4 linked regions of the Canis lupus familiaris genome follow. The protein of the gene in region 3 interacts with the protein of the main gene of each other region in a pairwise test. Links are inferred from orthologs where the notes say so. Each region holds a gene or a part of one and is shown on either strand. Other genes may lie near its edges. The genes, in order: GLIS3, HDX, SUFU and RCN3.

What was found.
Region 1: the proteins of SUFU (region 3) and GLIS3 interact in binary tests that used the Homo sapiens proteins (3 or more experiments, as listed by UniProt). The link is inferred for Canis lupus familiaris from reciprocal best matches to the Homo sapiens genes SUFU and GLIS3.
Region 2: the proteins of SUFU (region 3) and HDX interact in binary tests that used the Homo sapiens proteins (3 or more experiments, as listed by UniProt). The link is inferred for Canis lupus familiaris from reciprocal best matches to the Homo sapiens genes SUFU and HDX.
Region 4: the proteins of SUFU (region 3) and RCN3 interact in binary tests that used the Homo sapiens proteins (3 or more experiments, as listed by UniProt). The two-hybrid records come from large-scale screens. The link is inferred for Canis lupus familiaris from reciprocal best matches to the Homo sapiens genes SUFU and RCN3.

Annotation. Positions count from the first base shown.
Region 1 is NC_049222.1:93,382,695-93,387,198, forward strand, and holds part of GLIS3 (zinc finger protein GLIS3), read right to left. Parts: intron 1,670-4,504; 5' UTR 1,571-1,669; coding exon 1,183-1,570; intron 1-1,182. UniProt on the Homo sapiens protein: Acts both as a repressor and an activator of transcription. Binds to the consensus sequence 5'-GACCACCCAC-3'.
Region 2 is NC_049260.1:65,564,356-65,568,859, reverse strand, and holds part of HDX (highly divergent homeobox), read left to right. Parts: intron 1-3,201; coding exon 3,202-4,314; intron 4,315-4,504.
Region 3 is NC_049249.1:15,182,052-15,187,165, reverse strand, and holds the start of SUFU (suppressor of fused homolog), read right to left. Parts: upstream 3,461-5,114; 5' UTR 3,280-3,460; coding exon 3,098-3,279; intron 1-3,097. UniProt on the Homo sapiens protein: Negative regulator in the hedgehog/smoothened signaling pathway. Down-regulates GLI1-mediated transactivation of target genes. Down-regulates GLI2-mediated transactivation of target genes. Part of a corepressor complex that acts on DNA-bound GLI1.
Region 4 is NC_049222.1:107,642,181-107,646,069, forward strand, and holds the end of RCN3 (reticulocalbin-3), read right to left. Parts: intron 1,918-3,889; coding exon 1,718-1,917; intron 1,472-1,717; coding exon 1,364-1,471; 3' UTR 896-1,363; downstream 1-895. UniProt on the Homo sapiens protein: Probable molecular chaperone assisting protein biosynthesis and transport in the endoplasmic reticulum.

The sequences.
Region 1 (4,504 bases), on a different chromosome or scaffold from region 3:
ATGCTTGTTCTAAATATCAATAGGTGTGAGAAATAAAACAATCTAAAGTCAAACCTAAACCAAAATAAGAAAAAAGCTACGTACATATTTAGGGTTTTTTCTTAACCTGTCCATTTATACCATACAGAGGAATACAAAGACACTAAAACAACTTTTTGGTTACTCATCTGCTACAAATGAGTATTCACCTGAACTGGGTGAGTTATGAGTTAACTGGGTGAATGACTATTCCAGCTGCTGGCAATTTTATTTGGTAGTGTACCCACCTAATACAAACAACTAAAACCAAATGCTAAAAATACCTACCAGTATATGTAATTGTGCTATTTTATGTAACCAAGCTATATTTCACATGAGATATATATTCTTTCTTTTTTTCTAGCCCAAATACACATTTCATGTGCAACATCACTCATTACGTCAACATCAGTTCCTATAGACAGAGTGTGTCATTCGAATAATTTGTTATTCTCCAACAATTCCGTAATATTTTTAACAATTCCGTAATTTAAAATACATGTTATTCAAACATTACTGAACTAAAAGCACGTTCTCTCTGCACTTCAAATTAACCAAGTTTTCTAGTTCTTCACAAGCCCCAAAATACATCGTTTCATTATTCTCTTCTGGCTTCCTTCCCTCTTGTCACCAGCTAAACTATAAAACTTATATGAGTCTTGCTCTTGGAATAATTTTTTATCATTTCTATGTATGAATTCCTCACTCTATTCGCTGTTAAACCTTCCCCCTTCTTATCCTTTTCCTTCCAAACTTTCCTTCTAGCACCCAACCCACATCATGATGGCTCTGGCCGCCCCTCTGCTCTGTGGCCCAAGGAATCCAGTCCCTTTGTACATCCTGAGGTTAGGGGCTTCCTAAACTGGCTCCTGCCCTCCACCACCACCACCCACCCTCACTCCCTATGTCTGATCTTTCTGTCTCACCTTTTGCTCTGCTCCACAGCCCCATGAGGTACCACATTTACCCCTGTGGTCTCCTTACCCTCACACAAGTACACATCCATCCCCGTACCAAGAAAGCTACATATCATTAAGAGACTATCAGCTTTGACCCTTACATTCAATCATGTGTTTTTCCATAAGATTTGCTGGCAGAGAAGGATCTGGAGAGGAGAAAAAAAATCGTTTCCACTTTTAAAAGATCCCAGAAAGACAATCCTACCTTTCCCAGGATTTGGAGGAAAAGGATTTCCAAACTCCTGCTGCTTTGGCTTTAAAGTGTGTGGCCCTGACATGCCTCCAGCCTGGGTGACCTGGTATCGTGGCTTCCCATTGGTGAGCACTTGTCTCCTGGGGCTCAAGGCGGGCAGATGGAGGGGGCTCTCGGCCATGTTGCTCTGAGGAGCCATCCCTCCTCCCGAGGGCATCTTGAGATGGAGGCTGTTACCAAGGCTTCCGATGGCAGGGCTTGCTGTGCTGCCACAGGACGTGGGGCCAGGAGTCCCAGAGTGGGCTCGGATGGGAGGAATGTGTTGGCCACTGACCATCCCAGGCCCCTGTGGGGTTCCTGATGTCCGGTGGAGACTCATGCTGCATGACCTTCCATTCATTCTGAAAAAACCTGTGGCCAGGATGGTCAAATATCCAATGGCACTAATGACTCCTTTCAGGCAAAGTCCAATAAGTTATCCATGGTGTGGGTTATTAGCCTGTTTAAAAAAATAAATACAGGCATTTTTAAAAGTAAAAATGAAACTAAGTCACAGTGAGTTTTCAACCTGTGTAGCATTCATATCAGGAAGAAAAGAAGCACTCTTAGCAAAACAGCCTTTTATGTAAAGCAGGGTCATCAAATACATGGTTCATTGGCAGGCACTCTCCCCTCCTGCATTCATGGTAGACATGGATTATGGATCACTGTATTGTTTTGTTTGCCACTGAGCCCTTCTCAATACAGTGCTCTTGGCAACTACAACCGATCAACTGGTGCCAGCTTGCAAAGTGAAACTTATTTGGCTCCCTAGAAGATCTGTCCATACTAGTTCACTTTTGCTACAGTGAGTCTTGGGAAATCCAAAGCATCACCTTTGCGAGCTGTGAGACCAATGCTCCAAAGTTTCCAGTAAACAAGCAAAAGGCAGATATGGCCTCTAAATGAAATTATGGGGATATTAAACCACTCTCTGATTTTTATTGTAAGAGCAAAATTTTCACAGTCCCTAGACTCACGTAAGATAAAAATAGGGGCTTGGGATTCTCACAAAGACGTCATATAACCACATATCCAAATACAGCAGCATCAGAGTCTTGGTTCCATAATGATTCTGAGTTATGGGGATGGAAAAAGAATCAACACCACAATACTCTCACCTTCTATTAAGATCCTAGAAAAGGAAAAGTCTCTGCAAAACACTTCATGGAAAGCATAATGAAAGAAGGAGGCAATTATGTTCACCATACACACCACACATAGTAAATCAACCATAGTTCCACAAACATGGTTTCATCTGCCACCCCACCGCCACCTTCCTCAAGTGACAAAGAAAGAACCAACAGCACTAGTATCACCACAGGACACCATTATCCATCTGTATATCATAACGTCAGTACTCTCTGGCTACAAATCTTTAGGAAAGGCCCTTCCCTCCCTTAACCAAAAGCTCATAAAATGTGTATAGAGTCAAGGAGGTGACTAAGTGCCACTATTCCAAATGAATGACAAACATAGTCACAATCTGTATTCTTTTACACAGATATGATTGTCATGCAAAGAAGCCAAAGCTGAACAAATATAGGAGATATGGCTGAGTACACGGTGGTAGTAGTCAGATATTCTCTACTGGATGATTCCTACGTTTTCTCTAGGATCCACTCAATGTCTTAGACAAATATTTCCAACCAACTCTCAAATAAATGGCTCCATCAGCCATCAGGGACAGAATATTGAAGGGAAAACTCTCTGTGAAGAAGATTTTTTTTTTCATTTATCCTTTTGGAAAATCAAAAGATTTGATTTTCAAGTCAAGCACTCACTCTGCCCTCTGCAAAGTTTAGTGTGTGCCCAAATGTTGAGAAACTTCAAAAATTATTAACAATATAACATTTGGAATGTTTCCCTCGCCTTTACCAATTTTCTACTTTATTAAGAATTCTATCAGTCCAGCATATTTCATATGGCCACACCATTCAATCCTGAGAAACACTCTGAGCCCCTGCTCCTGCCCTTCCTTCCATTACAGTCCCCAAGAACGGACAAGGAAAGCCAGCCTACCCAAACTTTATCACTTTGAGTTATTTCATGGAACAATAAGAAATAAACCCTAGTACTAAACGGGTTGTAAGATTTTGGTTTTTTACATTGGGAAAATTCCCAATGCCTTTCCAGCTGTGTCCATTTAAGAACTCCAGTGAATTATCATCTGGTCTGTTGAGTCGTGGGTTGACTGTGACCAAGAATCATTTCATATCTCTGTGCTTTGCCAGAGGATGTTGGCCATCTATTCTTCACTCATTCATAAAATAGCATTTTCTGACTACTCTTAACCCTGCAAAAGAGAGGACTTACTCAGCACCAACCAAAAGAAGTAAGTATATATGTTGTATTGGCAATTTGTTGAAAATGAGGAATCATCCAACATGACTGGCATTATGAGCCATCATGAGTCCATGTGACAAGCATCTGTAGATTTACAGACTATGCCCCACTTCCAGTTTTTAAAAACAAAGGAGTCATTTTTGGCAGCAAGATCAATACAAGCAGGAATTCTCATCAAAAATCTGGATAAAAACACATAAGTAGGTACTTAGCATTAGGTTAGATCATTAATTAGGTTTGTGAGAAAAATAATGTGCTGAGAAGCTAATTAAGTATCAGATATTCATACCTGCCTGTCAAGCTGGACTTTTATTTTATTTTTAAACTGAACTCCTGTTTTAAATACCTTTAGATTGAAAGTAACAACAACAATAACAAAAATGCACTTAAATTTTATTACTAAAAAAGCAACAGCCAGAAAGCAAAGTGATGAATGCCATAAAGAAACACCAGTAAGGTGATGGCATACAAGCTAGGAAAACCAACCTCAAGACAAAATAATATAAACTCTGTGTGAAAATATGCTTAATAACCCAGTTCGCACATTAATCATGCCAATGGATCTTTCAAGCATTAGAGACAAGAATTTAAAAATCAATTTTATCTACTGGTATTAAAGTACTTTATATACTTTTTAGCAAGGCCATATGATCATTTATAGTCCTAAATCCCCGTGTTAACAAAAAAGCAATAAACTGCTAACTTTTAAGAAAGATACATCCTTATTTAATCAGAGTAAAAACAGCACTCAACTAGAAGTCAGGACACCTAAGTTCTACCTCTGGCAAATCATTTATAACTTCTCTGGCTTACAGTTTCCATCTATAAAACAGCTGATGATAATCAGTGCCATCTCTTGAAATTCTAATCTTCCAGATAATTAAGATAAGGAAGATTATCAAAGATACCCACTTAAGATGATCAAAGATAAATATGTAGATTTTATACC
Region 2 (4,504 bases), on a different chromosome or scaffold from region 3:
TTCAGTGGAAAATATTGAATTCAACCTTTACTTTTTGACTCAGTTGCATTATTAAATGAATTACTGTACTATGCTATAAAATAATAACTCTCATAACATGGTTAGCTATATGGATTTATTTTCTCCTTCACTAAAGAACAACAAACTAATTATTTCTCACATTAATTCTCTTATGTTTTCCTTACTTCTCCTTTTTTTTACTTCCCCTTTTTAATGAGCAAAATATCATGGACATTCCATTTCGGTGCTATCAAGTTGCCTCCAATTGCAATCTCTATCACCAATGCTCTACTTATTTTGTTATTTCTAATTTGTTATAGATTAGAATACCAGATTTGGTGAAATAATGTATAAAATAAGAGGAAGTGTGTTTTAAGGTGGACGATTGTGCTTTAGTAAAGTACATGTATCTTGTGATATCTATATTGTCTGTTCTAGACAAATGAAATTGTTAGATAGCTGAGCTTCATATGCATGTGATACGCTACTGCGTTTTACTTTTTGATGAGTATGTAATATAAATATCTAAAAATGGGTAGGAAATATCAGAAAGGGAGATAGAACATAAAGACTCTTAACTCTGGAAAATGAACTAGGGGTGGTGGAAGGGGAGGAGGGCGGGGAGTGGGGGAGAATGGGTGACGGGCACTGAGGGGGGCACTTGACAGGATGAGCACTGGGTGTTATTCTGTATGTTGGCAAATTGAACACCAATAAAAAATAAATTTATTATTTAAAAAATAAAAACTACATAAATTACTATATTTAGAAATATACATATATATAGAAATATACACATTGTATATACTGTATATTTCTATATATGTCTATATGTATATATATTATGCATACCATATACTATATATACTAAGCATTTCTATATATGTATATTTCTATATTTAGATTGCAAATTTATGGCTTATTTAATATTTTATGTAAAACTATTCACTAAGATCACTCTTAAACTTCCTGCATTAAGGTAGTTATATTAGAGGACGTTTATTTGTTTTCTTAGAAATATTGCCCAGAGCTACCTTCCAGATTTAGTAGTCCTTGAGTTAAAATTTTACAAATTCACTATGCCATCCCACTGAAAGTTTCTGAGTGTAATGATTGTACATTTTAAAAAATTATGAACAAACACATTATACTTCCTATGCATGTTTTTCAAACTTGAAAAACCATAAGAGAGTAACTTATTTTGAATATTTGTAAAATTCACCTTTTTAAATCATACCTTGAAATTATATTTATCCAAAAATATTTCGAGTATATACTTTAAAACCTTTCACTTTTTCTACTCTGCCTCATTCTCCTTTGACATTTTATTTCTTTGTTCCTCTGCTTGTAATTCTCACCTCTGCTGTTTAATAAAACTAAATTAGAATGAGTTTAAAATTCCCACAGCCTCATGTGAAGCAAAATAGAGCATCTATATCTCTAGAATATTTTCCTTGTTAGAGAAATACTAATTATAAAAGTAAAATGGCCAATAAAGATGACCATTTCAGGAGTTTCTTGCATTAGTGGAAGGAGATTTTGCTTTGAGGTCAAGTAAAATTGATTTTGAATCCTTGCTCCAACACCTGCTGACACGTTATCCTTCTATATGCTACTTAATACTTCTGAACCCCATTTTTTTTCATTTATACAATTAGGAAGAATAATCAAATAAGCTAATATATATAAACACATAATGGGGATTCAATATATGTTAGCTTTTATTTGTAGAATTACAGCAACATTAATGGTGTAAGCATCAAAAACTGAGTAATTTTTGTGGTCTTCAAAAACACGTCACATAAAAGTTAACAAATACACCCTGCACCATGTTTGTGGTAGTTTAGTTCATTTAATATTTTCACTTATTTTATTTTTTTAAAAAAATATAATAGATTAATGTGTTTTGGTAGTTTATAAATATGGTACGCATTTTGAAATAGTTACAAAGTTTACTGATCACATTATGGAATGTATTTCTTAGAGCATATTTCTTATTGCATAATTATGATTCAGTGTAATATCACTGTGATTGTTAAAACAAATTACTTATATAAAAGTACATATTTTTAAATTAAACCTAAATGCCAACCTATTTTATTATTTTATTAATAATGATTTTTCTGTTTATAAAAGTAATACACATTTACTATATAAAATTTGGTAGGTAGAGAGAACTATAAAGAAGGAAATAACTACCATAAATTAATGACAAACTGGGAGAAGTATTTGTAACTTGTGATGAAGTGTTGCTATCTCTAGTAAAAAATTGTTTTATATATCAATTTAAAAAGATAAATACTCCAATGTAAAAATGAGTAAAGTTAATGGATAGACAGTTTATTAAAGTAATATAGTAACCATAGAAATTCCAATGAAAACAGTGATTATATACCTTATATTTAATCCTAGGCTACTAAAGACTACAAAAAGATAACGCAAAATGTTGTTGAGGGTGTAGGGAAACCAGAACTCATACATCGGAGGGTACTTTGAAAGTATCAAAATGCCCAACACTTTCCCTTCTAGGATAGCATTCTAATGGACCAGTAGCACAAAGATGCACATACAGTGACATGTATTTCAGTATCATTTATAATAGTGAATACTTCTAAAATAACCCATTAGTATCTAGCGATAAATAAATTAACCAAGTTATGATATATTTGTAGAACAGAAGTTGTCAAACCTGAAGATTACAAGTATATAGTTATTTAATAATACTCTGAGCATTTTCCAATCTTGGTAAGCATCCTACTTTTAGTATGCTTCCAATTTTTCACTATTATAAATAAATATATGACGAACTTAATTGCATATAAACTTTGTATATATCTATGATTATTTTTAGGATAAATTCCTAGAAACGGATTTACTAGGTCAAGGGATATAAACATTTTTAGGATTCTTGCTACAGATTAATTGAATGGATTTTGAGGAAAGAAGCAATAATACAATTCTGTTATCAAAGTTCCTAGATATTTGTTAAGAGTAAGCTCTTGTCTGACCTTATACTTTATTTATTTTTATTTTTTAATCTTATACTTTAGTTACTTTTTCTTTTATTATATCTTTTTTGTTTTAAATTTGTATAGGACTTATTCCTATGACAAATGAGAGTACAGTTTATCACATTGGAAGTGTTTTTTCTTATTGTTTTTGTTAAGAACATTTTTATATTGTCATTTTTTATCCTTACAGACGTGGGTTGGCAATAAGAGAAGAAAAATGAGTAGTAAGAATTCTGAATCAGGAGCAACAACAGGAACACTTGCTGGTACCTCTTTGACAGCTCCAGACATTACAGTCAGAAATGTAGTTAACATCACTAGACCCTCAAGCCAACAGTCTTCTTGGACATCTGCCAATAATGATGTCATTGTAACTGGTACATACAGTCCGGCAAGTTCATCAAGTAGGCAAGTGACAACCAAACTTTCAGATACACAACTTACAGAAGCACATAAAATTCCTGTTCAGAAAACAGCCAGTAAAAATGATACTGAGTTTCAGTTGCACATTCCTGTTCAAAGACAAGTAGCACACTGTAAAAATGCCTCTCTGCTCTTAGGTGAAAAAACAATTATCTTATCAAGACAGACAAGTGTGCTAAATGCTGGAAACTCAGTATACAGCCACACCAAGAAAAACTATGGAAGCTCTTCAATGCAAGCCTCTGAGATGATGGTACCTCAAAAGCCATCTGAATGCCACCGACCTTGCAAAATTGAACCAGTTGGAATTCAAAGGTCATATAAGCCCGAACACACAGGTCTAGCTTCACATAACTTATGTGGACAAAAGCCACCTATTAGAGACCCTTACTGTAGAACACAAAACTTGGAAATCCGCGAAGTATTTTCATTGGCTGTTAGTGACTACCCCCAGAGAATTCTAGGAGGAAATGCCCCACAGAAGCATAGTTCAGCAGAAGGAACTTGTTTGTCCATTGCAATGGAGACTGGAGATGCTGATGATGAATATGCCAAAGAGGAAGAGTTGGCATTGATGGGAGCACAGATACCAAGCTACTCAAGATTTTATGAAAGTGGTAGATCCCATGGAGCAGAGAACCAAAGTACTGCATTGCCTGGACCAGGAAGAAATATGCCAAATTCCCAAATGGTAAATATTAGAGATTTTTCAGACAATGTACTGTATCAAAACAGAGACTACCATTTGACACCACGGACCTCATTACATACAGTAGCTACTACAATGTACAGTAATACAAATCCATCACGGAGTAATTTTTCATCGCATTTTGCTTCATCAAACCAGCTGAGGTTATCACAAAACCAAAACAATTACCAGGTAATGTATACATTTATTCTATAAGTTTTTAAAAAGTTTTCTTTGGAATAAAAAGCTGCACTTGATATCCAGTTAAACATGAGACTTGGCTCACTTAACTCATATTTTGAAGTAATTTGAGATTTTTTTTTTGCTTCAAAGTGGTAGTTTGGCAAGGTAAGTCAGTCATTTCCCCAAGAGATAATGGTAA
Region 3 (5,114 bases):
ACACTTTGCAATTGGCATCGTATGCTGCAGGAACACTAATAACCAAATAAAAGACATGCTACATGTGAAAATAAAAGACATGCTACATGTGATCCCAGCAAGAGTTCCAGTACCATGCAATTCAAATACTATTTAAAACCAGTAAGTCTGGTTTCATCCTCTTTTGCCAGGATATTATTTGCCCTTATAGAAATCCTTATTCTCTGCTAGGAAATGCTAAGTTATTTATAGATCTTGTAAGAAAGTTGCTACAAATAGCTCAGAAACTCAACTGAGTGGATTAGGAAAAGAGACAAATCCCCATGTCCTTCCTTAACTCTGATTTGACCAAATCATTTGAATGTTTCCACAACTAGTTGAATACAGAAAAGTTTGCTGGGGGAAGGAGGAAACATAGGGGTAGCTATCTCTGGAAGAACCACATGATAGCTGCAGAAGCCCAGAACAGATGGGAGTGACTACAAACTCCAGATCTGCTCCAGTTTCCTGCTGCAAATTCCCAGTCTTGCCCCTTTCAGCCTAAGTGCATCCAGCAACAAGTGGCAAAACTGTATCCACACTTCCATACTCCATCTGTCACACCTCTGCAGCCCTCTCTCAGGAGATACTGCATCAAGGATCGAGGCTTTATCTTAAAACTATAACTGTAAGGAATAACCAAGAGTCAGACAAAATTAACCTTGTCCCCAAGCACAGTGTTCTGTTCTACTTACTCAGACACCTGATGGGAAACAGATGATTATGTAGAAAATAATCATATCTTGCACTTAGAAAAATATGTTATCCAAGGACCCAGAGTATCCCTTGATGCTCTTCCTTGAACTTACTTCCTTGAACACCTAACTTCATTCCACATGACAGCTGTAGGACTGCAGTGGCTCCTGGGTACAAGCTCTGCCTCTGTGTTTCTGTTCCCTGCCCACTAAAGTATCAGCTTTCAGCCAGGATGTCCCTGCCGGCCAAGGTCCACTAGCCAAAGAACCAACCTTCTGTCACAAGAAAAGGAATCTCAAGGGACCGTGGGCCACAGCCAGACCCAGGTAGCCTTGGTCAGTCAAACTGCTAACGAGGCCTTGTGGCATCCCAAGTGTGATGTATATTAATGAATTAATTTCAGAATCTTAATTATGCAAACCCTTCCAAATCTTAGAAAGAACTAGTTGCTCAGCTGCTCCTTCTTATATTTTTCTGCATCTGGCCAGCATTTCTAATCTCACAAAGTACTCTTTATTAGTCATTACATGTTGGCCCATTTCTGAAGATAAGTCCTGCCTGGTTAACAAGCTTGCCCAAATCAGTCTTAGTCCTTTGCATGTGCTTTAATATCTTCTGCACACAATTCTATCCTTCATGGCCAACTGGGTGACATAAAAACAGTTGCCTAAGTCTGTGTAGGGATTTCTCTGTTCATTCAAATGAGACCTGAACCAACAGCATCGCAGAACCAGGCCCTCTTTCCCCATGACACAATCCAATACAGTTCATCACAACACATACTTAAATATAGGCAAGAAATGAGAATGGGTGATTAAGTTATCAAGAGCTGCTTTTCACTCAGAAGCTCTCTTCAAAAACTCCTCTCAACCAAAGAACAGTTTGCCTGCTGAAGAGAGAACTGTACCACTGGCCACATCTCCTCTGGCTACCAGACATGACCCTCTCATAGGAGGTGGCTGGTCCCCAGGCCCTGTCTCTTCATATTGTCCCACTGACACAGGCAACTGGCCTCAGCCCCAGACAGTCTAGTTTCTGCCATCTCCAGAGGAAGTTAAGAGGTTATCCTGGAGAAGCTTCCATCCTAAAAGAAGAGGTAACCAGCAAAGACATCCACTCTCTCAACCTCCCCCTTTGGGTCTACCTGCCCCCTTGGCACATCCCAAGCTTTTTTCTGAACAGTCTTTCAGGACTCAGTGAAGGGGATTATTTAATACAGTGCCTGCATGAATGCAGTTCTGGACAAATTCTACCAATTCCTCAGTCAATATGGTCCAGAAAGACCATGAAGACAGGCTCTTTGTCAGAGTCCCTCTAACACCTGTTTTGCCCAGTGGCTGTGAAAAGAGATAGGTTGCAAACAGGAATGGGAAACAAGAAAGGACCATTCCTACCCCAAGGGCAGGCCTTCTATGATCCTGAACAGAGCCACTTGAGGGTTACTCTCAGCTTCCCTGAGAGACTGTGGTCTAAATCCTGAAGCTTGGGGCCAGGAAGCCCCTCTAAACATCTGGCTGCACTTCTTTGCTCCGTGTCTCAGGTCTTCATCATTTACTGGGGTCCCCGGCAATCCTGAGCCAAACCATGGATCTATCTCCCTGACCGTGCCTCTGTTCTAGCCAATGTCCTAGGCAAAGCGGGTGCAGAGCCAAAGGAAGCTCTGCTTGGAGAAAGAGAACTGTGCCGAGTAAGCAGAAAGTTTATCAAGAAAAGTTGCTCCGTGAAACTTCAAACGCAAAAGCACTGCACCGATATGACTGACGTCTGAGCTCATGGGGAAGGTATCTTAAAAGGAGACCTCCTCTTCCTCTCTTCACAAGCACGACTCTCGCAACTTGCCTCCCTCCTAACCTATGGGAGAGCGGGGATCCCCAAATCCACCGTACCCTGTGCAGTCTCAAGCCCTCTGAGCTCGCCAGCCGCACTCCTCCAAAGCCCTCTCTTGTGCTCCCCAGGCCCCGCCTCGCCTCCCCCATCCCACTTCAGCCGCCCTTCTTCCCCCACCCCCGCCCCCGGCTTCCCTTAGCCCACTAATGACCCCCTACAGGCGCCCCCTCCTTTCACCACGTTTACAGTTCCCTTTCTCCTATCGGCCCCCCCCCCCGCTCCTACACACACACCCCCAATTCATTCTATTCTCCTAATCCCAGTTAACCCTTCATCCTCCCCCCTCGTTAACCCTCCTCTACCCAGAGGCTCCGTTAACCCCTTTGTCCCCGTTCCCAACTTCAGCCTTAACTCCTTGCCTCGCAGCAGGACGCCCTCTTTCCAAGTGCTTTAACCATTCTTCTCCACCTCCTCCTCCCCCGCAGATGACTTCGCCCCGGGCGTTCTAACCCTTCCCTGCCCGCCGTCGTCCGTCTCCCCGCGGCCCAGGGCATACCAGTACTTGACGATAGCGGTAACCTGGAGCGGGTTCGGCTGGTCAGGGTAAAGGCGACGGCACTCTCCGTAGATGGCGTGCAGTCCCGGGGGGAAGAGCGAGGCGAAGGCCGGGGGTGCACTAGGGCCAGGGGCCGGGGGCGCGGCGGGGCCGGGGGCGCCGCTAGGCCGCAGCTCCGCCATCCGGGCGCGTAGGGCGCTGGGGGGACCGGGGAGGGTGGACGAGGGGGAGAGCTCTGACGCGCCAGCAGGCGGACTCCGTGGGTGCGACTCCCCCAGGCGATGGGGGCTGCAGCGAGGTCTAGGCTCCGCGCCTGCGCACGGCGCACCGTCTGCCCAGGCCGTAGCCGCCGCAGAGACGGCCGGAGGGTGCCTCGGGGGCCGCGGAGCGCTCGGGGGGGCGGGGCGCCGGCGCGCCCTATCCCGGTATCCATTGGCTAGTGTCTGTGCCAGTCACAGATGGGGAAGGCGTGACTTGGCAATAGGTCCCGCCTCCCTCTCCGTGTGTGGGGGGGGTCCCAAGGCTCTTGGCCTCCCCCTAGTGTTAGGAGGAACCCAGATTTAAATAGAAATGTTGAGGCATCCTCAGGTGCTAGGGTCCCAGGAAAGCTGTGGGAAGCTCGCTGACGAACGACTTGTCGCTATTGTGCTGACACCCTGCTAACAAGAATTTAAGCACAAATTTGACAATAGTGGATTGATTCATTCGTCCATTTAGCGTGGCTTTAGTTGTAATAGATTATAAATCTGAATATTTCCTACCATCTTTGAATGTCCATTTACCATATTTACTGACACTAACCCCGCCAAATTCAGGGGTTGTATGTTGAAATATTTACTTTGGAGTCTTGTTAAAAAGTAGCAAGAGGGATCCCTGGGTGGCGCAGTGGTTTAGCGCCTGCCTTTGGCCCAGGGCGCGATCCTGGAGACCCGGGATCGAATCCCACGTCAGGCTCCCGGTGCATGGAGTCTGCTTCTCCCTCTGCCTGTGTCTCTGCCTCTCTCTCTCTCTCTCTCTCTCTCTATGACTATCATAAATAAATAAAAATTTAAAAAAATTAAAAAAAAAGTAGCAAGAAAAAAAAAAAGTAGCAGGAGTTAGGGACGCCTGAGTGGCTTAGTGATTGAACGTCTGCCTTTGACTCGGGGAATGGTCCCAGAGTTCTGGGATAGAGTCCCACATTGGGCTCCCTGTAGGCAGTCAGCTTCTCTCTCTCTACCTATGTCTCTGCCTCTCTCTCTGTGTGTCTCTCTTGAATAAATAAAATCTTTTTTTTTTTTTAAAGTAGCAAGGGCAGCCCCGGTGGTGCAGCGGTTTAGCGCCGTCTGCAGCCCAGGGCGTGATCCTGGAGACCCTGGATCGAGTCCCATGTCGGGCTCCCTGCGTGGAGCCTGCTTCTCCCTCTGCCTCTCTCTCTCTCTCTCTCTCTCTCTCTCTCACTCTGTGTCTCTATGAATAAATAAATAGAATCTTTAAAAAAAATTAAAAAGTAGGAAGAGTTAGGTAAACTAAGACTAGTTTTTAAAACTTGGTAATTTTTTGTCTTTATTTTTTTTAAGATTTTATTTATTTGAAAGAGAGAGAGAACAGTGGGGGAGAGAGGCAGAGGGAGAGGAAGAAGCAGACTCCCTACTGCTGGATCCCAGGATCCAGAGATCATGACCAGAGCTCAAGGCAGACACTTAACCTACTGAGTCACCCAGGCACCCCAAGACTTGGTAATTTTTAAAATAAATGCTTTTAGTGATGACAATCTCTTCTTTGTTCTGTTTTATGCAGATTGCCTTAAGGAACATCAATATTCATTATCTACTATAGACCTGCTCTTTCCCATTACCATTGGCTTTCTGTAACTGGGAGAATTTTTTGTTATTTTAAGTAATCTCTACATCCAATGTGGGGCTCGAAGTTACAACCCCCAGATTAAGAGCCATGTGTTCTCCCGATTTAGCGAGCCAGCCACCCCTGGGAGAATTTTTAATTCCTAAGCCACCTAGTTGAGAATTATTTTCCAGGG
Region 4 (3,889 bases), on a different chromosome or scaffold from region 3:
CAACATGTGGCTTGAACTCATGATCCTGAGATTAAGACCTGAGCTGAGGTTAAGTCAGATGCTCAACTGACTGAGCCACCCAGGCGCCCTCAGGAGAATATGTTGAAAGGGTTTGTGTTTTTTAGGTTTTGTGTTGTTTTGTTTTTTGCAGATTTTATTTGACACAGAGAGAGTGCTAGAGAGCACAAGCAGGGGAGCAGTAGAAGGAGAGAGAGAAGCAAACTCCCTACTGAGCAGAGAGCCCAATATGGGGCTCAATCCCAGGACCCCAGGATCATGACCTAAGCTGGAGGCAGACGCTTAACCAACAGAGCCACCCAAGCTCCCTTCTAGAGGAAAATTTAACGAGTAGGTCTCATGGGGCTGCAGAAGGGCCCATAATATCCTGTCCTTCTGTCCCAACTCAGCAGCAAGGTGGCTCACATCTACTCCTCTCCTTAAGACCCTGTATGACCTAATCTCGGTCACCTCCCTTCCTCTCTCACTTGCTGACTCCATTCCAGCCACACTGGCCTCCTGGTTGATCTGAGCACACACACGGGGCACACTCTGGCTTCAGAGCCCTTTGCTGTTCCTTCTGCCCTCTGGCTCTCCCTCCAGGCCTCCCCAGGGCTTACTTCCTCATTCTGCTCACCAGTAAGGCCCCTCCTGGCCACTCAACGGAGCACTGCCATCCTGTGCTTTCCAGAGGGCAGAGCCGTCTGTCTGGCTTGTTCCCCGCTGAGTCCGGTTGCCTAGTTTTATTGTCTCCAGGAATGCCCTCAAATCCTGCCAACCCCCTTAACCCCCTCTTCGAATGTCTGAACCCTGCAGTCCACAGCCCCTCCATCCCCAGCCACAGCCCCCAATTCCTCCCCAAGGCCCCTGTCGCCCCCTTAGAGACACAGAGACGAGGCCCCAGCACTGGAGTTTATTGCCTCCCTGGCAGAGAGGAGGCATCCTGGGGGCAGGGCCGGGGGGCAGGCGAGTCTGAGGCCAGTGAGGTGGGGTGTTTCTCTGCTGTGTGATCTGAGGCTCAGATTTGGAGCTGGGGTGCTCAGTGGAGGCTCTTGGAGGCTGAGCTTGGTATTGGGGGGAGCCCTGGGCTGGGCTGGATGATTCTGCCAATGAGAAACAGATGTTCACTTACCCTTTGGGTCTCTGAGCCTCCTGAGGGTGGGGTGGGAAGGGCTGGGGGTGCTGCAGTATCTTGGAGAAGTTGACCTGCTGTGTCCCTGAGAGCTCGGGCAGAGGGACACAGGGTGGATAGAGGTGTCCACATGCTACAGGTCCAGATGGGGAGGGGGGCCTGGCCACGGGGGCCCCTCCTTGGGTCACCCTGTGGGGCTACAAGGCTCGTAGTGGGCGCCCTGGGGCCTGGGGCTCAGAGCTCATCATGGTGACGTGTCAGGTCCTCGCCGTAGTTGGTGGCCTGGCTGCCCACGAACATGTTCCAGTTACTCAGGATCTCGGCCTTGCTCAAACGCCCATCCTGGAGGGAGGGTCACAGGTCAGCAGGGGGGACAAGGGGCCCTGCCTGTGACACTCCTCTCTGAACCTCTCCAGCCCACGGCTTTCTGGGTCCCTGTCCCCTACCTTTCCTCCACTCCCTCCCTGGGTCTCTCTATTCCTCTTTTAATCCCTGCCCTAACAGGCCCCCTCCCCCCCATCCCTACCCCCATCCTGGGTCTGGGGGGCCCAGGTCTGGGCATTTCTGCACAGCAGCCCCCTGGGGCACCTTGTCCGTGTCGCTCTCATGTAGCAGGTGGTTGGCCTCCACCAGCGGCTGGTCCTGGGCCGGGGGTAGCACCCAGTGGCCCACCTCGCTGCCGTCCAGCCGCCCATCCTTGTTCAGATCGCGGAAGTCCCGGAATTGCTCCCGCTCGGTCTGGACCCAGGCCGGCTCCTCCTCCCCGGGCTCGGCTGAATACAGATCCGCTGGGCCAGGCAAGAAGGGGCGACGTCAGGCAGTTCTGGTGGGCACCCCGGGGCTCTGTCCCTGCCCTGACGCCTCCCAATCCCAGACCCCATCCCAGACCCCAGAACCCCGGGCTGCCCCCTTTGCTTTCTCTCTCGCCTCGGTTCCCTCTTCTGTTTGAATGGGATTGATAGTGACACCGGACTGACAGGTGATCGCCCTGCCACAAGGAAAATTACTTGACTGATGGATCATTTCCTCAACTAGCTGTCAGTCAGTTGGCCTGATAACACATAGGAAATGCTGCGTGTCCCTTGTTGTGCAGTGCACACAGTCACACCCCAACCCTTAGAACAGCTCACCCCACTTTAAGAACTGTGTGCTGGGCAGTACAGAGGGCCCGTGATGTTGATGAGCACTGGGTCTTATACTATATGTTGGCAAATTGAATTTAAATTTTTTTAAAGATTTTACTTTTTATTTATTCATGAGAGACACAGAGAGAGGCAGAGACACAGGCAGAGAGAGACCAGGCTCCCCGCAGGGAGCCTGATGTGCGACTTGATCCCAGCACCCCAGGATTACGCCCTGAGCCAAAGGCAGACACTCAACCACTGAGCCACCCAGGTGACCCTGAACTTAAATTAAAAAAAAAAATCGGGGTGCCTGGGTTGTTTGGTTGGTTGGGCAGCTGCCCTTGGCTCAGGGCGTGATCTGGAGTCCCCCAGATCCAGATCTAGCCCCGCATCCAGCTGCCTGCTCAGTGGGGAGTCTGCTTCTCTCTCTGACCCTCATGGCTCTCATGCGCTTGCTCTCTCTCTCTCTCTCTCTCTCTCTCTCATGCTCTCTCAAATAAAGAAAATCTTTTAAAATTTTTTAAATTTTTAAATAAATAAATAAATAAATAAGAACTTCACTCAGGATTGTTGGAGCCTCTCATTTGTTTCCGTTACTTGTAAACGTTTGAAAAACTCTTCCCCTAACCTTGCCGCTAGGGGCTGTCTGGGAGAAAGCAGCCCACAGATGGGTTTGGAAGACATTACCACCCAATAAAAAGTATGAAGGTCTCTATACCAGATCCAAGACCATGATAAGTACAGAATGCCTTCCTCTCCTCAGGGACCAGGCCAGGCAGCTGTCACAAGGATGTCACCAAAGACAGAGCAGGTGCTGGACACTCAGTAAGCTTTCCAGAACAGTGAGTGCAGAGAACCCCCCTTTTTTTTTAGTGGTTCTAAGTCATATTTTCTTCCAGGAAGTGATGGCAACAGTAGACGGGAGCTGTCGTAGGTTTTTTTAACTTGTGGAGAAAAACTTACAAAGATTCAAAACGTAAGCTTAAAAAATAAAAACAAAAAATAAGGGGTGTCTGGCTGGCTCTGTTGGAAGAGCATTTGACTCTTTGTTTTTGTTGTTGTTTTTTAAAGATTTTATCTATTCATGAGAAACACAGAGAGAGAGAGAGAGAGGCAGAGACATAGGAAGAGGGAGAAGCGGGCTCCCTGCGGGGAAAAGCAGAAAGACACTCAGCCACTGAGCCACCCAGGTATCCTAGCATTTGACTCTTGATTGAAGGGTGGGGTGGTAGTTGTGTGTTTGAGCTCTATGTTGGAAGGAGAGATAACTTAAATAAATAAATAAAAATTTAAAGATTTAAATAAATAAATGAGCTTTAAACAATTTTTAAATTGTGGTAAAAAGCACATAACATAAAGCCACCATTAGTGGCATTTAGAATCTTCACAGTGTTCGCAGCAACCACATCCACCCAGAACATTTCCATCCCCCCAAAGGGAGACCCTTTTCCCATTAAGAAGCAACTCCCTGGGCAGCCCGGTGGCTCAGCGGTTTAGCGCCGCCTTCAGCTCAGGTCATGATCCTGGAGTCCCAGGATAGAGTCCTGCATCTGGCTCCCCGCAGGGAGCCTGCTTCTCCTTCTGCCTGTGTCTCTGCCTCTCTCTCTGTGTCTCTCATGAATAAATAAAACCTTTT